7 linked regions of the Rattus norvegicus genome follow. The protein of the gene in region 3 purifies or fractionates together with the protein of the main gene of each other region. This does not show direct contact. Links are inferred from orthologs where the notes say so. Each region holds a gene or a part of one and is shown on either strand. Other genes may lie near its edges.

Region 1 (4,210 bases), about 160 Mb from region 3:
GAGGGAGCCACTGCACCCTGCTTGTACAGCCTTGTCATGTATCTGAACACTCAGGTATTTATGGGTTAACATTTACACCAATCCCTTTCTGGGTTCTGTAGAGTTGTTCAGACTGGACTGAAACCCCAGTTCTCCTGCCTACTCTCTTACAGTGACAGCCTGTGCATGGAGATATTTTAGAATACAGACACTTGTGGGATGGAGAAGATACAGTTTTGGGGTTGGTTTTTTTTTTTTTTTTTTTTTTGTTGTTGTTGTTGTTTGTCTTCTGAAGCCAGGGTTTTTCTGTATAAACCTGACTATCCTGGATCTCACTCAAGGGATAACTGCTTCTGCCTTCAAAGTGTTGGGATTATAGTATTTCAAACTCAAAAGAACTCCTCTTCCTCCTCCTTTGCCCCACCCTCCTCTCCCTCTCTCCTCAGATCTACCTACTTTTGTCTCTCAACCCTGGGTTTCAAGGCATTTGCCACCAAGCCTATGAGAATAAAAGTTTTCTCAACTGGGGTTTGTGTCTATTAAGTGTTTCAGGTAAGCTCACCAATTTAATTTGATCACCGTCCTGGCGCGTGGATTTTTTTAAAAAAATTAATATGGATGGATGGATAGAAGCACCTCCTCTGGGAAATAGGATAACATTTCTTTTTAGAAGGAGCGACTGTTTTGAGGAAAGTAAAAGGTGTTCACAGGAAGTGCATCTTTATTGTTTCGTGAGGGATAACTAATGTGACCTGGAAAATAGCTGATAGTGGAGTTTTCAGAATTCAGTGTGACTTCTGACTTAAGGAAGAAAGGGTTATTGAGTCCCTTGATCTTTTCTCTGGAATGAACCCGTGCTCTCCTCCCCCTTTTCGAGTTGTGTATGGTTGGGATAACAGTCTTTAAACCTAGCTGTGACTGACAGTCAATGTGGGATACTAACACCTTTGTCACCACAACTTTTAGGATTGCCTTATGATTTGAGTCTCACTGGGTGTGAAGGATGTGAAGAAGTCATTGTTGGTGGGAGCTTGAGCAGTAGACGACACCTCTAGAAAGGTGAAAGAGACTCGAGTTCTCCATTCCTTTGATTATCGTGGGGTCTGAATAGCAGCCGGGGCTTGGAAACTACGTTTCTATAGATAGAAGTCCATTCAGCAGAGATAATGCGCGGGAAGTTGCAAGTTTTCCCGCCTCGGACGGGAGCGTGACCTCTGACGTAAAGCTCCGCCTCCTTGGGGGGGAAGGCTAGTGGGCTCCGCCCTTTACAGGATGACGACGCGTGTGAGACCGGAAGGAACTTATAGATTTCGCATGCGTCCTGCCTCCGGGGCGGAGGGAGCCCTGCCTCGTGGGGGCCATTCTTCCGCTGCGCGCCGCGCGACGTGATGACGACACTGGGCCCGCCCTCTACCCTGGCTGTGCTCTGGAGTTCTTCAGTCGTACCGCGTGCGCAACGGTAGTGACGCGTTTAACCCGGAGTATGGCGGATACCGGCTTGCGCCGCGTGGTTCCCAGCGACCTTTATCCCCTTGTGCTCGGCTTTCTGCGAGATAACCAGCTCTCAGAGGTGGCCAGTAAATTTGCAAAAGCGACAGGCGCTGTGAGTCCTTGGTTTGGTTTGCGGGCCGGGGTGGGACGACTCTCCAAGGTAGTCTAGGCCTTGTCAGGTTTAGAAGTCAAGAAATCGAGGTCTGGGGTCTGTCAGTCTAATGTCTGTGAAGCCTCTCTGCCGACCTTTCTGAGGCTTAAGGTCTCGGCATCTCTTTCCATCACGTCTGACTAGCTCCGAATCTTACGGCTTTTGGTGAGTTTTGCAGTGGTGGCAGGCATGGGTCCCTCGTGACCTAGGACATGTGGCGATAGATCCCTCCCGGAGCATTGGTTTGGCGGTGCCTGCTTCTGCTGTACTTTTTGTTGGACTTACACTTGGTTGCAGTTTTACCTGAGACTCAAAGATAAATTGTTACTAGTGAAGGCTAGGATCCTATTTATTTATACACTTTAAAAAATGAGTGAGTGCAGGGATAAACTGCGTAGCAATGAAAACTAGGATATCATTATTTATTTAGTTACTTAATGAATGAGTGCAGGGATAGGCTGCTTTCAGTATACCATAGAAAGCGTGAGCATCTTTCCCTGTCAAGTTGGCACTGGGCTTGGAGCTTCAGGTAGTGATATAAAGCAAATGGAGGCTTAGGCCAGATCCACCACTTTCTACATTGATGATCCTGGGCATCCTTTTATTTAAAACAAAGTTCAACCCTTTATATTGTGTATAAAAGTCCTTGTAGAGTGGAAGATGGATGTAAACTTCTGTCCCTCTTGCCTCAGCCTCCTCATCCTAAGCATGCCTGAACATAGCAGGATGCCATTTTGGTTTTTGTTGTCAAGACAAGAGTTTCTCTTTGTGTAGCCTTGGCTGTCTTGCAACTCACTTTGTAGACCAGATTGTCCTTGAACTCAGCTCTCACTCTGCCTACCAAAAGCAGGGATAAAAAGGTGTGCTCAGCCCTATTTACAGCTTTTGAGTGAATGAGATTCACCAAGCGAAAAATACACAAGCCAGTAATCTCATTGTAGACACACAGGGACCATGGGATGAGTGACAGCTATTGTGTCACTTCAAATCCATGTAAGAGCAAAATTAAGTGAAGGAATGTGAAATGTCTCGTCTGCATCTTAAGAAAAGCTGTAGTGTTCATGGAAACACCTTGAAAGACTGTGTAGACTTACGGTCTTTTTTTTTTCAGGGTGATAGCATAACTGACAATTTAGGTTTCTTCTGCTTTATTTCTATTTCTATTTTCTATGTCTCATCGTGTAACCCTGGCTAGCCTGGAACTCATATGCAGAGTAGACTGGCCTCCCAGAGATGCCCCTGCCTCTGATTCCTCAGCGTTGGAATTAAAGGCTGCACCATCATAACTGCCTGGTCCCCTCCTGTTTCTGTGGCCATTTTTGACCTGGCCTTGGCCTTATGATCTTCCTGCCTTAGATCCTGGGAATCTTGGGTTACAGGCCACCAGACCACATAAGAGAGTTCTTTGAGCCAGGGCAGCCTGGCATGTGATCTGATGATACATGCCCACCTGTTCCTGAATGGTCTTAGCCGATGGACCTTCTTCCAGTGCCCCTTACTCCTCCCCGCCCTTCCTTCTTTTTTTCCTTTTTTTCGGAGCTGGGGACCGAACCCAGGCTAGGCAAGTGGTCTACCACTGAGCTAAATCCCCAACCCCCCCACCCTTCCTTCTTAAGACATGGGGTCTCAATATATAGTTATGGCTGTCCTGGGGCTCACTGTGTAGACTTAAACTCATCTCTACTTGTCTCTCCTTCCCACATGCTAGAATTTAAGGCATATGCCACCACACCTGGAACCTTTGTTTGCTTATGTATTCTCTCATGCACGTTGGTGGTTTGCCTGCATGTAAATGTGTGTGATGTGTTAGATTCTGGAGTTCAGACAGTAGAGAGCTACCATGTGGGTGCTGGGAATTGAGCCAATTCTCCAGCCCCGCCTTTCTGACTTTTTTTTTTTTCCTTTCTGACTTTTAAAAGTCAATTGTTTAGGAAAAAAGTTAATAGTTAGAAAATATGAAGCCACAGGTGTCAGGATTGCGTGGATCTGGAGTTAACAGATGTGGGCGCTGGTAAAAGTGTGGATGGAAAGGCATAGGAATAGCTATGCTATAAAGTTTTCATGTTCAGTGTTAGGTGATATGTAAGTGGAATATTTTTCTCCTAATTTATACAAGTAGGAAAAGTCTTAAGATGTAACATCCATTTCAAATTGAGTAGGTAGTTAAAATAACTTTTTTTTTTTTTTTTGGTTCTTTTTTTCGGAGCTGGGGACCGAACCCAGGGCCTTGCGCTTCCTAGGTAAGCGCTCTACCACTGAGCTAAATCCCCAGCCCCTTAAAATAACTTTTTAAAAAAGATTTATTATATATAAATACACTGTAGCTGTCTTCAGACACACCAGAACAGAGCATGAGATCTTATTACACATGGTTGTGAGCCACCATGTGGTTGCTGGGATTTGAACTCAGGACCTCTTAACCACTGAGCCATCTCTCCAGCCAGTAAAACAACTTTTGAGACAAGGTCTCTTTACATAACCCTGGTGTCCTGGAACTCTGTATATAGTCCTCTTGGGCCTTGGCCTCACAGATCTGCCAGTCTGTCTTCCAAGTGCTGGGACCATGCCAGGCTGACAAATTACATTGAT
Region 2 (3,500 bases), on a different chromosome or scaffold from region 3:
AACATGCTTGGTTTAGTTGACACCTTTCCTTTGGGTAGGCACACATGTACCTAAGTCTCCTGTCACCTATCTCCTGCCTTGTTACACTGTAGACTTCAAGTGTTCTATGGTCTTTCATTGCCAGTGTTAGAAGAGCTGACATTCATGTGCTGCTTGGGCGCTGAGGTGGGTGACAGCAGTACTTTTCCCTCAACACTTTTGGCTATTTGCAATGACCTGATAGTCCTAACCTTAGAACATCTGAATGTGAGAGGGCTTTATTCTCTGTCTACTGCAATCTTGTTTGTACTCTGGCAACTCTCTTCATCTACAAGTAGTGCTGCATAGATGCTTCTAATCTTCCGGAGACTTGAACCTGATAATCAATTAATAATGTGTTTTTCTAAATGTTGACTCACCATACTTCTGAGACACCTTGTGTTATATGGCCAGGGCTAAAGCTTAATGGGCCTTGGAAAGATGTTGTCTTAAAATGAAATGTGACCCTGCTAACACACCTTCAACCTCAGCTTCTCAGGAGTCTAAAAGCAGGAGGACCACAAGTTCAACACTAGCCTGGACAAATTAAATTACCCAACCCTGTCAATGGATGGATGCTTGCATGCATATGTTTGTCTACCGCCGGGCACTAAGTTCAATTCCAGGAATGTAATAACAAAAAAAGTAAAGAAAAACATTTACATTTCTGTAATTCACCCACTAAAACAATGTGGCTGTCGACAATTTTTAGACCTGTATTAGTGCTTTTGGTATACAGGTTGGATATCCTGTGTCTGATACAGTGGGGACCAGATGTGTTGTAGGATTCTGGTTTTGGAAGATTTCAGATGTTTAGTCCTTACCTCCCATCACTGCTGTAAATGAAATTAGTAAAGTACTGTGCATTCCTCATCTGTTCCTTTTGTAGGAGTAAAATTAAAGCTTACAGGTCTGGAGAGAAGGCTCCAGTAAGATGGCTGCTTGTCCAGAGGAATGGGTTCAATCAGCACCCACCTGGCAGCCTGTAACTGTCTGTAACTCCAGTTTGGGGGTTCCAATGCTGTCCCACAGATATACATACAGGCAAATCACCAGTGCACATAAATAAAAAGAAATCATGAGAGAGAGAGGGCAGGGAGAGGGAGGCAGGGAGGGAGGGAAAGGGAGAGGAATGAAAAGAAAAAAGAAATTAGCCAATAAATGCCAGGGCCAGTGTGGCGGCAGAGATCAGTGTCCACACAGGCAGTTTTCTCAAGCCAATAAATGGCAGTCGGGCTGTAATCTGAAGCAGTAGTGCTCTGTTTTGCTCTGATTCTCTGCATGTGTCACTGCACGTGTGGTCTGCTACAGTCCAAGATGTGATTATTTGACATAGCTGCTGTTTACGAGTTCCCTAGTTCCATTCTCTTTTCATGGTCAGCAGCTGTATTACATTCTATTTTAGTAGAAATAAAGAAGAAAAAGAAGAAGAAGAAGAAGAACAAGAACAAAAAGATAAATGGCCTACCACCTGAAATAGCTTCTGTTCCGGAGCTGGCAAAATACTGGGCCCAGAGATACAGGCTTTTCTCTCGCTTTGATGATGGGATCAAATTGGACAAAGGTAAATAAAATATAGATGTATTGTTTAGCTTTATTTAGAAGCCACTGTAGATTTACAGAAAAATTGTAAAAATTTTCATACCATTTTTACCTGGATTCAGCTATTTCCAACATTTATAATTTGATTCTATGTGTGTTGTCTTTTTCTGATCCAGTCACATAGATCATGCCACTCCCAGTTATTTAGTATGTATTTTCTAAGAAAAATGGTTTTTGCTGTAATAATAAATAATAATAATAACAACAACAATGGTAATAGCAATAAGACCTGGGACCAGTCCCTTGTATGGGAAGGTTAACCAATGATAGTAAATTATCTCTGTAACTCATGTTTTCATAAAGTAGTGTGATGTGCGTTTAGCTGTTGTGTTTTCTTAGCTTCCTGTAATCTGTAGTAGCTCCCCGGACTCTCATACCCAAGACTTCTCTTGAGCCAGGCAGGTACTTTACCACAGAGTTACCCCTGCAGCATGATGTTGACTTCTTTCGAGGAATGATGGTTCATTGCCTGTGGAGTATCACTCAGTTGTGCACATATGACCATCTGTGTTCTAATTTCAGATTTAACTTGTATTTGTAGCAACTTATGCAGGGTAACAGAAGTATGGACATCATTAAAAAGAGCAACTGATGAAGATATACCTAATACAGAAACTTATAATTAATTAGCAGTGAAAACTTGAATTCTTCATTGAATTTTCCTTCTCTGATTTGCTTGCTTATTTGTTTAATGTATAATTATTGCTCTGTTTTCATGCATAAGAGAAAATCATATTTCATTACACTGAGGTTAAGGAAAGGGGATTTCTGAGAATTGATCCTCAGACCTCTGGAAGAGCAGCCAGTGAGCCGTGGCTTCAGGTCCGTGTCCTTCCCTACCTCCATGATCTTAAAAGACAATTTAGTCTCAGAGACTGACACTGGTTTTTATATTGAGAGGTCTTGATCTATTGAGGAGTTAAGTGATTCTATGCCACCTGTGTAATTTGTAAAAGAGTGAGTGCTATAGAAAGTACATGGGAATTTATTAGGAGAACGACTGGGGAAAATAGAAAACGTTCACTGGAGGTACTGAAGAGCCATTTAAAGGTTTAGTAGGTAGTGAGAACAGAAACACTTGCCCATCATTTTTTTTTCCCAAAGAAAGTTCCTTCTGAGAAATGCAGGTTCTTTCTGATAGAAAGGGAGGGTAGTATTTTCTTCCCTCCAGCTAAGTGTAACTTCATTTCTGAACATGGCAAGGGTTCTGCTATTCCTTCTATGCTGAAGCAGCCTCCTAACCACTGGCTACTGCTCTTTGCTTTCTCTGACATTTAAAAACATGGAAATGTGGCACACACACCATGGACAGACATACATGAGGGCAAAGCACTCACAAGTAATAATAATGTAGCGAAGACTCTTCCACCTACGTCCTAGTTAATAACAACTCAGAGGCTTATTCCTTATTTCTAAAGGCTTAGGCCTAAAGCTAGGCTTCGCCCTGGACTAGCACATAACTCAGCTAACTCGTTTACACCAATCTGTGTCTGCCGCATGGCTCGTATGTTACCCCAAGTCCTGCAGGTGGCAAAACCGTTTCCCAGGGTTCCTCTGAGATGTCTCCCTTTCCAATCCTGCCTCAGCCTATTGGCCATCAGTTTTATTGAAAGGTGATGCTTATACACAGTACACTAGAGATCAGCCCTACGTGAAATATTTTTTGAAAATGTAAATGTTCATAAAGTGTCAATAAAAACTGAATCATCGCCTGTCCATTATAAATAAAATAGTTGAGAAAGTCACTGTAGTATGGGAGGCAGTTAGCCATTTAGAACTTGCCGATTCCCATAGCTGATGAGCAGTAGTTAATGCCGCAACCAGAAAAATCGCAGTTCTGATCGATTACCAGAGAAATGTGGAAGATAGCATACAGACGC
Region 3 (3,300 bases):
CTCACCACTGTCTCTAACTCTTTGACATCTTCATACAGATAAACATGCAGGCAAAACACTAATGTTCATAAAGTTTTTTTAAAAGAGATAATAAAAGTTTCAAAAACAACAAAAATTGTTTGAAGCTGTCAATGGGGTATAGTCACAGGGCTGAGACAAAAACTCGAGCAGGTTTTTACAGTTTAAATCAAGTGAGATCATTTTGAACCACCCCTAATCTTCAAGCTGTGTTTTCAGATAAACTCTGTGCTCCACCTCCATCACAGAAAAGCTAAATATCACCCAGTCCCATGCACTGCTTGCTGCTCTCTGGCTGGGGGCAAAGGGGCAAGCCCTGGAGCACTCCACTGCTGCCCTTCATCCCCAGCCCAGCTGTTCTCCTTTTGAAGAAAGGTCTCACCATGAGGCCCACTGTGGTCTCCTGCCTCCACCTCTCCGAGTGTTAGAGTCACAGGCATAGGCTGCTGCTACCCCTGGGGTTAAGCCCAAGCTGACATGCTGGTGTGCTCTATCTAGCCCACCCATCTAGACCATTGCTCATCCTTAAAGGGGCAATTTGGGGATTTTGTTAATTTCCCCCCTATGCTGGGAGGGATGGATTTAGCAGGACCTAGCATCAGACTGAGGGGGGGTGCCCTTTTATCGAGAGGTCTTGAAGATACTGTGAGGGCATCACAGATCCTGTTGCTATCAAGCATGTACATGTGGGGCTCCTATACGAGGGATAAAATGAGTTGTGTGAAGCTGTCCCACCAAGAAAACCAGAGTATCTGCATTCTGCCCATCCCTGGTTAGATAGTCTGCAGCATGTTCTGCCTTTAGTGGCCTCTTGCTGGTGCATCTCATAAGAGGGGTATGGTGCTGGACGCGGGGATGCAGGCCTGTAATACAGTACTTGGGAGGTGGGGACAGAAGAATCAGGATCTGTGTGGGGACTTCACAGCCAGCCTGGGATACCTGATACCATATTTCAAGAAAACTCTGATTGGGTTTAGTTTTCTGGGATTTGTTTCTTCCCTTCTGGGAGGTTCACGTTTACCCCTCTGTGCTGTAGGACTGATGATCACTGTCATTGTTGATTACTGTGTTCCGGCTATGGTAGACATCACCCTGAGCCCCGAGCCCTATGCTTTGCCAACGTCTAACGTTTGTGGACCTGACGGGTAAGGGTCCTTTAACTTCTTATGCTCCGTTGCCCTGACCCCTGTTTCCGTCTGTTACAGGTTTCAGCCCCCGTGGGGGCGGCTTTGGTGGCAGAGGCGGCTTTGGTGACAGAGGTGGTAGAGGAGGAGGCCGAGGAGGGAGAGGAGGTTTTGGCGGTGGACGAGGAGGCTTTGGCGGTGGAGGTCGAGGTCGAGGTGGAGGAGGCGGTGGCTTCAGGGGACGAGGAGGTGGAGGTGGACGAGGTGAGCGAGGTAGACATGGGGGGCTAGAGCAGGTTCTCAAAGGACATAGGAAGGGAAGACGTGGGGGCCTCCCTCTCCTACTGCAGCTCTCTCTTACAGGTGGAGGCTTCCAGTCTGGGGGCGGCCGGGGTCGAGGTGGTGGCCGGGGAGGCAAGAGAGGAAACCAGTCAGGGAAGAATGTGATGGTGGAGCCCCATCGGCATGAAGGAGTCTTTATCTGTCGCGGAAAGGAGGATGCCCTTGTCACAAAGAATCTGGTTCCTGGAGAATCTGTGTATGGAGAGAAGAGAGTCTCTATCTCCGTGAGTTCCGGACCCCTGTCCAGAGTACAGGCCCAGCTGATAACATTGCTTACAGTCTAGTCTTTTTGCTATTGTGTCCTACAGAGGACCAGGCAGGCTGTAGCTTCAGAGCTGCTGCAGATCCCAGCTCCCCCTCCCAATTCCCTGGCCTTGTCTTCTAGCTCCATACTAAACTGTTTCCTTGTCCTCTGCCTCTGGTCACACACTGCCTGCTCCTTCTGATGAGGCTCTTACATCGCCCTCCTTGTCTGAGCCGTCCTCACTGCCACAACCTAGCTCTCCCATGTCCTTGTCTCTATGGCCATCCCTAGGCTGCCTTGTTCATCTCCCACTCTGTGTCTGCAGTGTTCTTCCCGGGGTGGTGTGGGTGGCTCAAAAGTGTCCCCAGCCTTTCCTGGTCTGTTTCCCTTTTCACACTTTCCTTGCTCTGTTCTGATTTCAAATCCTCTCCTGGCTTAGTCTGTATAGCCTGTCACCTGTGCCGGTTTGTACTTAATTCAGTGACTTAGTTCAGAGAGTACTTACCTCTTAGGGCAGAATATGTGTTCTACTCACTGTTGTCCAGCACCTGAAACTGGTGCTAGGACAGGACATAGTGCCTAGTGCTTAGTTCTGTCTTTCACTTCCGTGTTTACTGTATGTTATTCCCTCCCCGAGTCTCCATGGGAGGGCAGAATGGCTTCTCTCCTGGTCCCTGCTGTACATCTGCATTTTGTTCTTACATAGTGATTAGAATGCACTTTCTTTTGAGGGCCCTAGGGTTACAGGGAATGATGCCCTGCACAAGAATCCAACACTGATTCTGTCCCCATCTCTCCTGGCTCAGGAAGGAGATGACAAAATTGAGTACCGAGCCTGGAACCCCTTCCGCTCCAAGCTGGCCGCAGCAATCCTGGGTGGCGTAGACCAGATCCACATCAAGCCGGGGGCCAAGGTGCTCTACCTTGGGGCAGCCTCAGGCACCACCGTCTCCCACGTGTCTGACATTGTTGGCCCGGTGAGTGGGCAGGTTATGGGGATGGAGGAACCTAAGCCAGGCTCATCCCTCATTCTGTGAGAGGGACAGCTTGAAGCAGAGTTCTTTCAGTACCACTCCTGCTTGTAATTGTGAACCAGAGAGTGTAGTCAATTAAAGTAACCCAGAGCTGGGAATATAGATACCAGACTATTTTGGTTGAAAAAGTTATGTCCAAGGGCTAAAAGGGGAGATTCAATCATTAAAGTGCTTGCCACACTGTCATGAGTACCTGATTTTGATACCCAGAATCCATTTTGAAAAACAAAACCAGTGTGGCAGTATACCCTCATAGGAACAGCATGAGAATGCAGCAACAGGCCAGTGGTCTCTGGCCTGCCGAGCCGTCAGCACCGGTGAGAGACCTTGTCTCAAAAACATGATGGGTCTAGCCTTTAGTCTCAGCACTGGAGAGGCAGAGGCAATAGATCTCTTGAGTTCAATGCCAGCCTGATCTACACAGTGAGTTCCAGAACAGCCAGGATTACACAGAAAAAGGAAAAACAGGGTTTCAAAAAAAAGAAAAAGGAAAAAAAAAGGATGGTTAGAGTTCCTGAAGGAGTGGTACCTAACATCA
Region 4 (3,955 bases), on a different chromosome or scaffold from region 3:
TATACGATCTGTGTGGCCTCTTATTTTGGGCCTCCTTTCCCTTATTTAAAGAATGCTGTTTAGAATATTAAACAGTAGTTTCATTGCCATTCATTCAGTAAGACTCGGTATCCAACATTTGCTTTTGGTGTTTTGAGAGGTCTTTTATGTAACCCTGGCTGTTCTGGAACATGCTGTGTAACCAGGCTGACCTTAAACTCGGCTGTTTGCCTCTACCTCCCAGATGCTAGGACCAGAGAGCATGAGCGGGGTTTTTGGGGTGTGTGTGTGTGTGTGTGTGTGTGTGTGTGTGTGTGTGTGTGTGTGTGTGTGTGAAATTCGGTTGGTTAAATTTTGTTTTTGTTTCTTGGGTTGGGTTTTGGATTTTGTTGGTTTTGTTTTGTGTGTGTGTGTTTCTAATGTCCTTGAGAGTTTTGCCTGCATGTCTGCACTACGTTCGTTCATGGTGTTGGTAAAAGTCAAAAGAGGGTGTCTGCTGCCCTGGAACTGGAGGTAGATGGTTGTGAGAAGGCGTGTGGATGCTGGCAATAGAACTCCAGGCCTCTGTAAGAGCAACAGTGCTCTTAACCACTGAGCCCTGTCTCCAGCCTGTTATCCCTGATTCTCAACCTAAATGTGATGATGAAAGCCATCTATTCCTGCTCCCCCCCCCCCAAAAAAAAACGATGGTCCATTAAAACCGGTACACGAATTGTTAGGGGGTGCAGAGGTTTCCAGCATAAATCCTTCATCCTGTTCTTGGGATTCTGGGTCTAATGTGAGGCCTGGATGCCCACTCCACAGCAGCTGCATGCAGGTCAGTCTGAGCTTTTCAGAACTAGGCGGTTTCAGAAGACCGCTAAGTGATCTTTGTTGGGATGAGACCTGAGCGTATTCCACGAAGTAACAAAGTGTGGCTTGGGTTGAGAAAAGCAGGTGAATTGGGGAGAACGGGCAGCAAGGGAGATTTGATGGCCAGGGTAGAATACAGCTGAGCCAAGGCCTCTCGGGCTGCGCTGGCGGCTCCCAGCAGAGGGCGCGGTGCGGTCCGGCCCGGGTACTGCAGTCCTCCGACGTGGATAGCGCTTCCCGGGCGAGGGCGGGGCTTCCGGCGGCTCGCGAGGTCACACGGTGTCTTGGCCCGGTCGTCCTTCCCTTTGCACGTGTCCACCCCGCGATGCTCCCTCTGCTGCGCTGCGTGCCCCGCGCCCTGGGTGCCGCCGCCACGGGCCTCCGAGCCTCCATCCCGGCCCCGCCGCTTCGGCATTTACTGCAGCCCGCGCCCCGGCCATGCCTCCGGCCCTTCGGTTTGCTCAGCGTACGAGCCGGCTCCGCTCGGCGCTCTGGCCTCCTGCAGCCCCCGGTTCCCTGCGCGTGCGGCTGCGGCGCTCTGCACACGGAAGGTAAGGTTCACGCACCCTAGTCGGAATGCGGCGATCCAGCTCGGAACTGGCCCTCATGATCGCAGGTTCCCCTTCTCGCGTCTTGAAAATGTGGCTTAGCAAAGTCGGTAGGGTCGTGGTTTCAAAGTGTGGTTGTTGGGTCCACGTCTTTTTGGACATGGAAGAGGATAGTTGGAAATTCTTTTGTTTTATACGGGAAGTAATAGTAATGAGTTCATGATGAGAAATAACCATCTCATGATAAGTAATATCAGTTCAGCTCAGTAAATATATCCTGGTGTTTTTATAGAGTGAGGAACGGACGTTTTGAGGCGTGATTTACGCTACAGTCTTAGAACAGCCTTAAGAATAGATTACACGCAGTCCGAGTCAATCGGTTAGAGCAACTACCTTTTCTCACTGTTGATCATTTTGGCCTTTCTTTTAGGAGACAAGGCCTTTGTTGAATTTTTGACTGATGAAATTAAGGAAGAAAAGAAGATCCAGAAGCATAAGTCCCTTCCCAAAATGTCTGGAGATTGGGAGCTGGAAGTGAACGGCACGGAGGCTAAATTATTGCGCAAAGTTGCCGGAGAAAAGTAAGTACTGGCCCAGGGGTTGTATACTGGATTCTCAAGTCAGAAGTTCCTGGTTACAGCATCCTGTTCTGACCATCCCCAGAAGAGCCTGAGCTTAGGCCCAATGCTTTGATAAAATGGCTTTAAGAAAGCATTAAACTTGGGAAAGTTCTTAGGTTCCAGGGAGTGCATTCACTGAATGAATACAAGCTTCTATGGCTTGTATTAAGGAGACCTGAAGCAGCTCCAGAGTATGTAGAGGGAAGCCTGTGGGAGGGGCAAACGCAGTTATTGGGTTATTAATGAGGGGTGCTGTGCCAGTCTGGATTAAGCATTGGGTTGTTGTTTTGTTGTTTAATAGTACTGGTAAATCATTTGTTTAGAACTCCCGTCTGGCTTGTGTTTATAATAGTTGAAAGTGCACGTGTGTAACTGTTAAGTCACAGGAAGAAGTTACCATGTAGAAAGGCCATCAGACAAAGGGAGAAGGTTCTTAGCCAAACTTAGCTCTTCCTCTCCTCAAGGGATTCGGTTTGAGACAAGGTCTCTGTGTGGCTGCTGTGTAGCATAGACTGGGCTCAGACTCTGGGTCCTGCTGCTTCAGACACCTGTGTGCTGAGGTTGCAGACATGCGCCACCACACCTGGCACCCCTAAAACCGTTAAACCCTTGTCTGTGCTGTTTCGTGTTACCCATTCACCCACAGTCTTCCTTGGCTAAGTCTACTTGGACTCTTAAGTGCTTCTCTAGCTTGTGTGAGGCTCCAGGATCCATCCCCAGTGCTTCAGGAGCACAGTGTACAAGAAAGTTTTATTGGGGGTGCGGGGGTTTATAAGCTTAGCAGTAAGTGTGTGTGTGTAGATTAGAAAGTTCAAGGCCAGGCTGAGTGTCGGTGGGGCTCACCGCCTTTAATTCTATCACCCTGGGAGGCATAGACAGGTAGATTTCTGTAAGTTCAAAGCCAGCCTGGTCCACCAGCAAGTACTAAGACAGCCAAGGCTACACAAATAAGTCCTGTCTTGAAAAACCAAAATAAGAGAGGGAAGGAGGGAGGGAAGGAAGAAGTAGGTTTAGTCTGGGCTATCGCAGGTTGTACATGCCCTTTGGTTCACCTTGCCATTCTTTTTTCGGGGGCAAAGTGGCAGCAAGGCATTGCCCAGTTGGACTCCAGGGAGCAGCCCCCAGTACACTCTTCTTGGGTTGGTTGGCCCTCTGAATCTGTGTAAGCGGAACTTCTTTTCCAGGTGTTGAGACAAAGGAACTGTCTCTGACTTTAGAACAGGTGCTGTCCATCACATAAGAATTCTTACAGTCACACAAGGGCCAGGGTGCAGCTGTGAACTTCCGCCAAGCATGGGCAGGGTACTTATTTGAGCTCCAGAATCCCCCCAGAAGGGAAAGAAGCCACTAGGTGTTTCAGTTCCTAGTTTGTGGTTGTGCAAAGTGAATCTGCTCTGCAGTGGCTGTGAGGCTTTCCGGGGCAGATGGCTGTCCACCTCCATTAGCTTCCATGGGAAGACCCCAGGACACCAACCTGGCAGCTTCATCCACAGCTGTAGTCATTTAACTTGTAGGTACACTTCAGATGAAATTCTCTTCACTTCCCTGTGTGGCTAGGATGGAGACATTGTTTCAGTGGGCCTTGCTCTCCTGTTACCACTAGGTTAATGTGTACCTTGGTGTATCTCTACCTGCCTTTCTAGGATCACTGTCACTTTCAACATTAACAATAGCATCCCTCCAACCTTTGATGGTGAAGAGGAGCCCTCACAGGGGCAGAAGGCCGAAGAGCAGGAGGTAAGCAGTGACATGGCAGACAGCCAAGATTTCTGTCCCCAAAAGCAAGAACTGTTTCACTTTCACTCTTTTTAAAATCCTCCCTGCTAGGGTGAGGTGAAGGGTGAGCCTCCTGAGACCTGTAATGCAGTCATTCCGAGTGAGTTTTAGCTGGAGTTGTGGATGGACCATGTTTGTAGAGTGTTGTCCCCTAAGGGCTTAGGGTTTATCACGGGCCTG
Region 5 (4,165 bases), on a different chromosome or scaffold from region 3:
GGGCAGGAGATAGGGAGCGTTCAGATTTGCCTTTTTTCTCCTACTCCTCCTTGGTATACAAATCCCCATCTTCAAAACTGCGCTTCATACCTCAGAGATGCTCCTCCCTAAGTTGCAAGTACAAGGTTAAGGAACCCCGGTCAGTTCTGCCCAGCCTGGGGCTAGGGAGAAGTTGCCTCCCTACTCTCTCCTGCTTGAGGTGTGCCCTGAAGTGGTAGAAAAAGTGAAAGCGGGCTCACCCCTCCCACTTCTGGGGCACCTCCCTTTCTAGAACATTTCCTCCTTCTGTCAGTCATCTGGCAAGGGCTGAATCATCTGAACTATAGGACAAGGACTCTATAAGTAGCTCTGCAGCCGGATCTACCTCTCTAGAGCTTAGGACCAAGTGGTGAAGAAGCCTTTTGCTAACAGTCTAGAGTTCTGGGGTGCCAGCCAAGGTTTCAGGTAAATGGCTTTCAACTAACTGCCAGAGAGCAAAAGCCACTTTAACCCGCCCTTCCCTGCCCTGTGGAGGACTCCAGGGCAGGGCCAGAGGACACTCACCGAAAAGAAACGGAACCTTGAAGAGGTGGCTGTTATTCTGTCTGGTATTAGGAATGCTGAGTGTGCCTCCTAAGAAACAAGTTCCAAGTCTGGGCTCCCATCTAGTGACCCTTCGTGAGCTTTCGGTTTGTCTTTGGTAGGGATTTCCCAGCAACCACCAGAGGAGGGGAAAGAGCTTAGGGGTGGTGTAGAATTCCAGTTATTTGGCCGCTAGTGGGGTGAGTCAGAGGCTGGGTAGGCCGAGGTTGGTGACCGGTCCTACAGATGAGAAGACACTAATCTAGACATATCGAAAGCCGCAGGGACTGACTCGCCCCTCATGTAGCTTTGATTAGGCACACGCAGCATGTTATTTGCCCAGTGAGTTTGGCTCTGGGTTCAGATACTGTCTCCTCTCCAGAGCTGCCGGAAATCCATTCCCTATGTTTTAAATGCCTGGCTGGGTTAGCTTTATCGCCGCCCCAGCGGGGGCGGCGGGGGGTGGGGGAAATCACAGAACCCCGCACCTCTAGCTCCCCCTTGTGGCCATAATATGCAAGCACAGGCATGCCCTCCTGGCCCCACCCCTCCCTGGAAGCAGGGAGTTAGCAGAGCGCAAGCGCCACAGGTCCAGGCCGGAAACAGCAGGAGAGACTTGCTTCCTACTCCAGGCTGGCGACGGAGCCTATAGGAGTTCTTGGAGGCGTGGCTAACTGAACCGGTCCAATAGACGATTGGAGGCGTGACAGGATCTTCTAAAGGGTCCAATGGAGCTGCGGAAGGCGGGGCCCGCCTCGCCGTGGGACCCTATCAGTGTTTCGGGTCTTGCCATGTGGCCGGGGTTTAGCAGCCATGTGAGTTCTTCAGTAGAGGCTGCGGCACCTTGATGAACAGTATGTCGACCGCCGTGGCAACTCGTAAACGGGCAAAGCCAGCTCCCGGGCCCGGGGCGGCCCCGGTGGACGGCAAGCGGCGGCGAAAGGTGAGCATGGAGTTTTCCTGGGCGCGACTGATCTAGTTACTGGGACAGCCATCATTCCATCCCAGGGCCCCCATCGGAGCATGTGTGTATCTTCTCCAAGGGCTCTTTCAGAAGGGAGCCTCCATCTCTTTTCTTCCACCCACCAAATCCTGGAAAACCTTCTGCTTGGCCAGGGCTAGGTGCCAGGTTCCTTTCTCAGTCCCGGGGCTCTTGACCAAGAAAGGATGTTGTATTTCCAGGTAGACTCTGCTGCAAGCAGAGGCAAGTCCAAAGGTGGCGGCAAAATGAATGAGGAGATTTCCAGCGATTCTGAGAGTGAGAGGTGAGTTGTTTTCTACCGAGAGAAAGGATAAACTGAGGCTCATGGTGACTAAAAAACTCGGTGCGACTGGTAACAGAGCTGGGTGTTTGGCTCGAGATCCTGGGTCTTTCCTTCAATTTCTGGCAGTGAAATGTCGTTTATCTCTGATGCGAGTCTATGGGAAGGACCCTGGGCCCCTGGGGGAGGGAGAGCCTGAGACCTTTTTTGGCTTCATGACATGGAGGCAGGCACAGGGCTGGATTGATTGAGAGGCAAGGGGTAAAGTGTACAGAACACATCTTAGTTTTCACACAGCACCACATGACTGGAGTCCTTGGACTCCATTTGAGATGAGTTTTGTCCAAATGATCCTACAGCTTCAGCTTTCTGAAGAATTAAAGCTAGAGAGTGTATTGTCACACATGTAGCCTTTCTAACATTAGGGACTTGTTTCACCGTTAGGAACACAGGGGAGCAGGCAAGTGGAGAGAGGCGGTGTAGGGAGGCGTGTGTCTTGGAGGCATGTGTTGTGAGAACGGAAGAAGCCTTTTTAAAAGTTGAGCCTGGAGAGATGAGGAGTGTGGTGGAGCGGTAGGGAAGAGGTTCAGGGATCCGTGACAAGTCTGGGGTGTTAGTGTGCCAGGGTGGGAGGCTGAAAAGATGAGCGGGCAGGTGACTTGCATATGGAGTTGAGGGAGGTTTGAAGTCTTCCTCATTCAGCTAGTCATGCGATGGCTACAGGGTTTCCAAGGATAGGGTGTTATACCTGGGGTGGAGATTCTTAGTCCCGGGAATCCTGAAACTTTCTGTATAAAAAGGATTTAGTAATTCTGTAGTATACCCCCAGATGGGATTTCTCTGTAGCAGCTATCCTGAAACTCACTCTGTAGACCAGGCTAGCCTTGAACTCAAGAGCTCTGCCTGCTTCTGCCTCCTGAGTACCAGGATTACAGACAGACCTGGCTATCAATTCTGCTTCTAAAAGTGAATATGTGTTGCCTTTTTTATTATTATTATTTATTTATTTATATGAGTACACTGTAGCTATCTTCAGACACACCAGAAGAGGGTATCAGATCTCATTACAGATGGCTGTGAGCCACCATGTGGTTGCTGGGATTTGAACTCAGGACCTCTGGAAGAGCAGTAAGTGCTCTTAACCGCTAAGCCATCTCTCCAGCCCGAATATGTGTTGTCTTAACTTGCTCATAGAAACTTTTTTTGAGGCAAGGACTTTCCATGTAGCCATGGCTGTCCTGAAATTAGCTGTATAGATCAGACTGGCCTCAACCTCAAAGACATCTGCCTGTTTCTGCCTCCAGGACCTGTGCTAAACACTTTGGTTTCTGTTTGTTTTTATTTGTGCGCGTGTGTGCGAGTTTGTATGCACTGTCTACATGCTGATGCCCAGGGAAGACCTGAGACATTGGATCCCCTGAAACTGTCATGTCAGGTGGTTGTGACAGCACCTGAGGGATGCTGGGACTGTAAGAGCAGCAAGAGCTCTTAGCCGATCAGCCATTTTTTTCCTGACCAATCTTTACCCACTCTTCAGTATTTTAATTAACTACAGAATCACCACCCCATTTTCTTCTGCTGATCTTCTAACATGGGCAAAAGTAAAAATAAATGTATACACACATTAAATTCAGGGCTGAGACAGTGTTTCTTTCAAAAGGGATTTTTTAACAAAGGGTGATGCTGGGCGTGGTGGTGTATACCTTTAATCCCCAACAACTGGAGGCAGAGGTGGACAGATCTCTTGAGTTTGAGGCCAGCCAGGGCTACATGGAGAAAATATGTCTTGGGAAACAAAACAAAACAAAAAAACAGAATTGCTAAATCCTGTTTATAAAGTCTGAGCCCCCTTACCTCTAACCAGCAGTCTGCTTTTCGGTGTGTGACCTTAAAGAAGAGTCTGATTGGGCACATTCAGGAAGGACAATAACTCTGGCCTTATTCTTCCTCAGACATTATTTATTTATTTTTTTTTTTTGGTTCTTTTTTTCGGAGCTGGGGACCGAACCCAGGGCCTTGTGCTTCTTAGGCAAGCACTCTACCACTGAGCTAAATCCCCAACCCCTATTTTTTTTTTTTTTAAAGGCAGGGACTTTGTAGCTCTGGCTATCCTGGAACTTGCTATGTAGACCAGGCTGGCCTCAAACTCAGAGAGATCTGCCTTCCTCGGCCTCCTGAGTACTGGGACATGCTCCAGGACACTGTTGTTCCTCACAGGTTTTAAAATCCCTTCTGGTGGAAGTCCTGGGCAAGGGTGCTGAGAAACAGCGGGTAGCAGACCGGATGTCTGCAGGCTTGTGATAGAGGGTGCAGCTGCCTTGGACTCCTGGCTCGAGAGTTCT
Region 6 (3,500 bases), on a different chromosome or scaffold from region 3:
TCATACTGGGCTTTTTGTTTTGTTGTGGGTTTTTGTGCTTTATATATTTGTTACAAATTTTTGTTATGCCAAAGTAGAAAATAAATGCATCGATAAATGTGAAAATGAAAGAGTGGTGTATGTTACTATTTGAAATGAGAGACTTGGCAATTTGATATTTGTGTTTACAGTTACTGGTCATTAGACTCATCATAAAATAACTGTGTGTAGGTCGGAGATGACAAAACTGTGAAGCAGTGGAAAATGGATGGACCAGGCTGCGGAGAGGAGGAGGAACCGTTGTACACGGTGTTAGGAAAGGTACCGAACACATGGAATGATGCTTGTACACAGTGTTAGGAAAGGTACCGAACACATGGAATGATGCTTGTACACAGTGTTAGGAAAGGTACCGAACACATGGAATGATGCTTGTACACGGTGTTAGGAAAGGTACCGAACACATGGAATGATGCTTGTACACGGTGTTAGGAAAGGTACCGAACACATGGAATGATGCTTGTACACGGTGTTAGGAAAGGTACCGAACACATGGAATGATGCTTGTACACGGTGTTAGGAAAGGTACCAAACACATGGAATGATGCTTGTACACGGTGTTAGGAAAGGTACCAAACACATGGAATGATGCTTATACACAGTGTTAGGAAAGGTACCAAACACATGGAATGATGCTTGTACACGGTGTTAGGAAAGGTACCAAACACATGGAATGATGCTTGGCCTATTAAAATTCTGTATCTCTTTTTGTAATTCCAAAAGGGAAAAAAATTAACAGCTGAGATGGTTTGTTTTTAATAATAATGCAACATTTTATGTGATTAAAGTTCTTTGAAGCTAAAGAATATGAACATCTCTTTGGTGTTCTTTGTAACAGAGTCTGACTTCTCGGTGGCTAATAAATACTGGCTGTGTTAGGTCATACAAGTCATATAGGGGATGCAATGAAGTAGTTCTTAAAGGAAGGCCACAGAAGAAACTGCGTAAGATAAATGTTTGGAAAATAATGGCTTAGTTTCTCTCTGGTTTATATCTTCATAGATCTTAGACAAAGCTCAGAATTTCTCAAAGAAACACAGAGTAGTGTATGCTTCCTGTGTAATCTTAGACTTCTCACAAATTGTTCTCCAAGTCAGATTGGGTCAGTTAGAGCCTAAGAGTGGTTTGGTTAGAGCATGTTTTACGTAATGACTGCTTATATTCTTACGTTACACAGACAAAATCCTGAAGTTAGGTTTACTCTTTAGATATGTGCCTTTGAAAGCCATCATTTATTTCATTATCACACTAGTGTATATGTAGGTGATGTTTCAGGTTTCAACAAGTCATCAATATTCCTAAAGGGAGATGGAGGTAGGAAATGTGTGCAAGATGGGAAAATGCCCAGGTGTAACAAATTAGTAATTCCAAAGCAAATTCCATTTCATTTTTATAAAACGCCTTAGCATTTTATGATACTCTTTTTCCCTTTAAGGAAGGGTCTCAAAGAATTTCTTTAGGGGTTGGGGGGGGTTGGGGATTTAGCTCAGTGGTAGAGCGCTTGCAAAGCCCTGGGTTCGGGACCCAGCTCCGAAAAAAAAAGAAAAAAGAAAAAAAAAAAAGAATTTCTTTAGACTTACTCTAGGGGGAATACCATGATCAGTTAGACTTTTTTTCAAGGTGAAGCTATTGCATTCTGGATATGCCAGCCCTGTGACTTTCCAAATGTAGGTGACTCAGTTGCACAGTTGTGGCAGAAGGTGGTGGGAGAGGAGGGGGGAAATGTCTTTGTAGCAAGAATTTCTTTAAAAAATTTAAATATGCTGATTTAAAGTAGTAATGAGCCTATGTAACACGCTCTTTGCTTTTAAAGACAGTATATACTGGCATTGATCATCACTGGAAAGACCCGGCCTTTGCCACGTGTGGACAGCAAGTAGACATTTGGGATGAACAAAGAACCAGCCCTGTGTGCTCAATGAACTGGGGATTTGACAGTATAAGTAGTGTTAAATTTAACCCTATTGAGGTAATGGTCTTCTTAATAATGTGTTCTGATTATTGTTTGCCATGAAATTGTATCCCTGTTTCTACACTTTAATGGCTTTCTAGCTTTAATGTGTTGTCCAGGTTATATCTGTGTTCTGTGAAATTTCAGCTGCACATCAGAGTAGACTCCAAATGAATACTTGGCTCCTTTTGGTTTTGATTTTGAGACAGACCTTGGATGGCACAGATGGGTCTTGAGTGTGTGGTCTTTGTGCCTAAGCCTCACATTAACTTTACTTTTCTGTGCTTTCCATGCTCTTGTTTCATCAGATTGTACCGTTGTGCTTTGAGGAAGATGTTCCCTTTTCTTAAGCCTCTTGGCAGTCATGAGAGTGAGCATTGAACATACTGTCCATATTTATAATAATATGCATGACCACTTGTGGGCTGCATGATAATTACAGTTATTAGGTCTTCTTCTTTTGCTTTACAATCTGAGTTTCTTCCTAGTCTCAGTGGACTTGGAGGTGGGCTACTGCATGCTATATTTGTATGTGAACTTAAGAAGAGGGGCTGAACTGGGGGCTAATGTGTCCTTGGGCTCCAGATCTTTCTCTGATCTTTTTTTGAACACATAACAATAATGACCCTTATTGTCCAGAAGACTCAGTCAAGATGCTTTTTCTTTTGCCTCAGTGTTAATAGGAAGTTACCATGTTAATTTTTATAAGAGAAAATCCTGAAATGTAAATTTTGTACTCAGAGGCCCAACGTGGTGAGAGAGGGAGGGGAGGTTAAGCCGAGGTGGCAGAGTGTTCTGACTGTTCATGGGGTGCTGTTGGGACATGATGTGCTGCAGTACAGTGTGAGCTTGGCTTGAAGTGCTGCCAAGAGGCAGGCAGACAAGGCTATCCTGCACTAGCGTGCTCCTGTATGCATGCTTCTGTGTGAGGCTACATACAGGTCTAGAGCAGGGACTGCCAGTGTATTCCCCCGCATGTTTAAAGCCTTTCCAGAACACAGGCAGACCCTCTTCCTGTATATCTGCGGCTGCTTTTATGCTACAGAGGAAAAATTGAATAATTGCTCAGGGAATCACTTGGCTCATAAAACCTAAAATACTTTCTTTCTGTTTCTTTATGGAAAAAGTTTGTTGATCCCTAGTCTGGGATTTCTGTCTGAGCTCTGTGTTCCTGGCTGCAGCCTCTCTCTCACTTCCCATATTCACTCTGGTTTTAGAAGTGAGCTCCGGCCTTGAGAGGTAAGCCAGCTTTAATGAGCTTGGCCTTGAACACGAGAGAAGAACAGGCTACAGTTACAAATAACGTGTTAAAGCCTGCCTTACCACCCACCTCATCCAAGTCATAATTCTCTGTATTTATTTGTTTTAAATAGGAGATTGACTGTGTCTCTGATTGTACTTTATAGGTTTATTGTGGGAAAAATTGTGATGATAGATATGAACATTTTAAACATCTTAAAGTCCAAGGTGGCAATTTGTCATCAAACAACAGTAAACACAGATAGTGATT
Region 7 (3,500 bases), on a different chromosome or scaffold from region 3:
AGCATTTGGGAATTTGGATGTTTGGGTTGTGGTACTCAACTTGAATTAGGAACTTTTTGAAAACAAAAACCATGAAGGTTAGTGCCTTTAAGAAGCAGAAGGGTCTGTGAGTTTGAAGTCAACCTGGTCTACAGAACAAGTTCCAATCCAGCCAGGGAGATGTAGACCCAGTCTCAAAACAACAGAAAACAAGATGTTTGTAACTACAATGCACTTCTGATAGAACAGGTTCTCTTGAGGTTTTACCAAGCCAACTATTTCTCTACCTCAACTGGAGTCAGATGTCCTATAGTGCAGCTCTCTTCTGACATACCTGGAATGAAAGTCATTCCCCTGTAAGCTCTGTTCCGAGTCTTAACAAGACTACTTCCTTATTGAGCATCCCCTAGTCCTGATTTATTCAGCTTCAGATTAAGGAGCCCATGTTACCCCCACCCCCAAGGGTTTAATACTTTTCTCAATGACTCCCAGACTTCATGGAGAAGTGTTTACAGGCTTAAAGGCTATATAACTTGGGAATAGCCTGGTAGAGATTGACAGGGCTAAACATTGAGGCTAGTAAGAGGGCAAAGGGCTTCTGTGCACCCATTCTGGGCATGTCACCTTTTTATGCAGTCTCGAGCCTGGAAGCTTTTTAAATTGTTTGTAGTGTTATAGGGCTTCCATTATATGAGCATGATTGATAAAAACCTCCATCTTTGGAGATTGATCTTCAGTCCCTCTCTCTGGTGGTCAGGAGGGGTGTGTGTGTGTGTGTGTCTGTGTGTCTGTACGTGCATGCGCGCGTGTGTGCATGCATGCGGGCAGAAATTCCAGCCCTGCAGCCACCAGTTCCTATCTTGCAGTTTTCTGGAGACAATTAGTCTTTAGCTCACAGTCTAATTAATTTACAAAAAGACCCTTTTGAGCGTCTGTGTCTTACACCAGGAATGTAGAGGAAAACTAAATACCACAACTAAATATACATATCAAAAAGTGCCAAGGGTTTCATTTCAGAACTGCGAATGAGACCCAGTATACACTCAAGGCACTGTCTGGCTCCTCTCTTGTAGCCAGGCCTTTGCTGTGTCTTTCAGTGTTTGCTTTAGGGTCACAGACTACGTCACAAGTTGTACATATGCATCTACTGTAGTTTACCCTCGAGTGATACAGTGCCTCATGTGTGGCATGAGAACCTCTCAAGGGCTAATTTCCATCTCCCCTTCCTTGGTGCTTTTTGTTTTGTATTTCTGTTTTTGTGATGGAAATTCTAAAATATGCTTTTACTGTTTTGCTGTAAGCAATTTTTTTTAAAGAGGTTTAAAAAGAAAACAGTTTCTTTTGTTTTTGTAACTTCTGATACACTTCAGTTCCTATGTGGATGGATATTTCCATGGCTGAATGATATTTTTCCTAAACCACCATCTTTTGTCTGCCTGGAAGACTTCGGCTTGCATTCTTTATAGCACAAAAGTAGCCTTTGTTTTGTATTTTGTCTTAAAGGAATTTTTTCTAGATAGTTCTGATTGTCAGTTTTACTTTTCTGAGATTGTTAAATACGGATGCTGTTATGTTTCGGCTTTTACTGTCTTTTTTTCCCTTAAATTTTCCAGGTGTTTTGTGGTTTTTTGTTTGTTTGTTTGAGCTCTTTCTTCTAATGCTTTGCTTGTTTGGTTATTTTTCACTTAGAACTGTCATTTTCTTTGAAAACTTCATAAAAGTTTTTTCTCCCTTTTTTCAAAGTTTTAAAAAACATTTATTTCTGTATGTGTATACATTGATGTATAAGTTTGTGCAAGCCAAGGCCTGTTTATAGAGGCCAGAGGACAACTTGTGGGAGTCAGTTCATAACTCCCACCATGTAGATCTTGGGAGTGGCCTCAGGTGCTCAGACTTAAGTGGCACCGGCTGAGCTGAGCCGTCTCACTGGCCCATTTGGCCCGTCCCCATCGGAGCTCTCCGAAGCTAATGGCTGGGACTGTTTTTCTTCCAGAGCTGGTGCATTGACTTTGTCTGGGGCATTCTTACCTGGCAACTTCAGTATCCAGGAAGGACACCTTTCAGGTCCCCTAGAAGATCCCCCAAACACAGATGAGATAGATACTGCTGAACCCTGTTTGTATTGTTTCCCCTGAACATTTATAGATTGAATGTGTTTATATCTTGAGCATTCATGCTCCATGGTCATACTTTCTGCAGATTGATATAACAGCAAAACTAACATAAACTTCTTTACAATTTCATGGAAAGAACATTCATTCATATTGTAGATCTTAGTAACCAATTCATGACTTTTTTTTCTCTAAGTTCGAGAATTTCGAGAAAAACACTTTACAGCTTCTAGCTCTAGCCTGTCTGAGTTGCTCATTGGGGTAACTACTCTCAGGTGGTAGGACCAGTAGATAAAGTAAGAGCTACCTGAACATAAGCAGGGCGCATAGTCTGATAATATTCATGGGTGGGTAACATTTATAGTGGGACAGAAGGAAGACTCCTGTCTTGTGTAGATGGCGCCAGGCAGTGTTCGAGTCCCCTTACTATTTGGAGTGATATATGGCTTAAAACTTTTGAAATCCTTATTTATGGGATTATCAGTTTAATAACTTCTTGGACCATAAGTGACCATGAGTAGCTGAAATGCAGAAAGTAAAATGAGTTAAGGAGAAAATCTCTACTTCTAATTCCTGGGTTGACCCTTAGGTGTTATGGGCTCCATTATGCCTTCAGAGGTCAGTTTGAAAACACTCACGCATAAAGTCAAACATGTTTAGATTTCTGAAAAGAGTGATTTATTTTATTCCTTCCTTCACTGAAAAGGGTCTTAGGGATATGTGCTGTACAGATTCTCCACAGGACAAGACTGACCCTTCAGGCTTTTATGGTTTCCTCACTTTGGTGTCTCTGGTGACTTCACACTGCACCATGCGTGCTATCCCTGTGCTGGAGGACCTGTGTAGAGTGCTGGTGCTTTGGGTCAGTCAGGGAGGCACGTGACTCTTTGAGGTTTCCTTATTTCTATGCAAAGGCAGGAACTTCAAACAATGACTTGCGCATCATGGATTTCTGTTGGTCTTGCTTTACTTCTCAGGAAGCGGGAAAACGCTGGCTTTTGCCATCCCGATGATTCACTCAGTGTTGCAGTGGCATAAGATGAAGGCTCCACCCATCCCAAGTAGCGCTGGAGTGCCACCGAGGTTAGGAGCTGCAGCCCATCGTGGCTCACCTTGCAAGGATGGAGCGAAGTCTGGAGTATTGCCTGAAGAGGCCACAATTGAGACTGAAGCACAGCCCAGTGACTCTGGGGTCCAGGCCACAGCCAAGGCTGGCGCTTCTGCTGCCTCAGCCCAGGCAGGGCTCTTCTGTGATGATGATGCTGGTGAAGGGCCTTCTTCCTTAGTCGAGGAAAAGCAAAGTAAGGACAGAGAAGAAAAGTTGGATGAAGAGCAGGCTGGAAAGTTAAAGCAGGAGTTGTGTGACCAAATTGCTGTTTATAAAGTACACCCAAGGCGCCCTCTGCTTGG

Evidence for each region.
Region 1: the proteins of Fbl (region 3) and Nolc1 fractionate together in Homo sapiens (co-fractionation; 3 studies listed by BioGRID, with this or other methods). This does not show direct contact. The link is inferred for Rattus norvegicus from reciprocal best matches to the Homo sapiens genes FBL and NOLC1.
Region 2: the proteins of Fbl (region 3) and Tgs1 purify together in Homo sapiens (affinity purification with mass spectrometry; 3 studies listed by BioGRID and IntAct, counting the BioPlex papers as one, with this or other methods). This does not show direct contact. The link is inferred for Rattus norvegicus from reciprocal best matches to the Homo sapiens genes FBL and TGS1.
Region 4: the proteins of Fbl (region 3) and C1qbp purify together in Homo sapiens (affinity purification with mass spectrometry; 4 studies listed by BioGRID and IntAct, counting the BioPlex papers as one, with this or other methods). This does not show direct contact. The link is inferred for Rattus norvegicus from reciprocal best matches to the Homo sapiens genes FBL and C1QBP.
Region 5: the proteins of Fbl (region 3) and Rrp9 purify together in Homo sapiens (affinity purification with mass spectrometry; 3 studies listed by BioGRID and IntAct, counting the BioPlex papers as one, with this or other methods). This does not show direct contact. The link is inferred for Rattus norvegicus from reciprocal best matches to the Homo sapiens genes FBL and RRP9.
Region 6: the proteins of Fbl (region 3) and Dcaf13 purify together in Homo sapiens (affinity purification with western blotting; 3 studies listed by BioGRID, with this or other methods). This does not show direct contact. The link is inferred for Rattus norvegicus from reciprocal best matches to the Homo sapiens genes FBL and DCAF13.
Region 7: the proteins of Fbl (region 3) and Ddx24 purify together in Homo sapiens (affinity purification with mass spectrometry; 3 studies listed by BioGRID and IntAct, with this or other methods). This does not show direct contact. The link is inferred for Rattus norvegicus from reciprocal best matches to the Homo sapiens genes FBL and DDX24.

The regions. Positions count from the first base shown.
Region 1 is NC_086019.1:254,868,949-254,873,158, forward strand, and holds the start of Nolc1 (nucleolar and coiled-body phosphoprotein 1), read left to right. Parts: upstream 1-1,410; 5' UTR 1,411-1,462; coding exon 1,463-1,582; intron 1,583-4,210. UniProt on the Homo sapiens protein: Nucleolar protein that acts as a regulator of RNA polymerase I by connecting RNA polymerase I with enzymes responsible for ribosomal processing and modification.
Region 2 is NC_086023.1:21,339,492-21,342,991, forward strand, and holds part of Tgs1 (trimethylguanosine synthase), read left to right. Parts: intron 1-1,423; coding exon 1,424-1,582; intron 1,583-3,500. UniProt on the Homo sapiens protein: Catalyzes the 2 serial methylation steps for the conversion of the 7-monomethylguanosine (m(7)G) caps of snRNAs and snoRNAs to a 2,2,7-trimethylguanosine (m(2,2,7)G) cap structure.
Region 3 is NC_086019.1:92,600,407-92,603,706, forward strand, and holds part of Fbl (rRNA 2'-O-methyltransferase fibrillarin), read left to right. Parts: intron 1-1,223; coding exon 1,224-1,406; intron 1,407-1,505; coding exon 1,506-1,708; intron 1,709-2,534; coding exon 2,535-2,705; intron 2,706-3,300.
Region 4 is NC_086028.1:56,200,386-56,204,340, reverse strand, and holds the start of C1qbp (complement component 1 Q subcomponent-binding protein, mitochondrial precursor), read left to right. Parts: upstream 1-1,155; 5' UTR 1,156-1,156; coding exon 1,157-1,382; intron 1,383-1,809; coding exon 1,810-1,960; intron 1,961-3,642; coding exon 3,643-3,736; intron 3,737-3,955.
Region 5 is NC_086026.1:115,994,815-115,998,979, forward strand, and holds the start of Rrp9 (U3 small nucleolar RNA-interacting protein 2), read left to right. Parts: upstream 1-1,365; 5' UTR 1,366-1,408; coding exon 1,409-1,504; intron 1,505-1,743; coding exon 1,744-1,826; intron 1,827-4,165. UniProt on the Homo sapiens protein: Component of a nucleolar small nuclear ribonucleoprotein particle (snoRNP) thought to participate in the processing and modification of pre-ribosomal RNA (pre-rRNA).
Region 6 is NC_086025.1:72,055,882-72,059,381, forward strand, and holds part of Dcaf13 (DDB1- and CUL4-associated factor 13), read left to right. Parts: intron 1-210; coding exon 211-300; intron 301-671; exon of another isoform or gene 672-696; intron 697-1,852; coding exon 1,853-2,008; intron 2,009-3,500. UniProt on the Homo sapiens protein: Part of the small subunit (SSU) processome, first precursor of the small eukaryotic ribosomal subunit.
Region 7 is NC_086024.1:128,340,216-128,343,715, reverse strand, and holds part of Ddx24 (ATP-dependent RNA helicase DDX24), read left to right. Parts: intron 1-3,067; coding exon 3,068-3,500. UniProt on the Homo sapiens protein: ATP-dependent RNA helicase that plays a role in various aspects of RNA metabolism including pre-mRNA splicing and is thereby involved in different biological processes such as cell cycle regulation or innate immunity.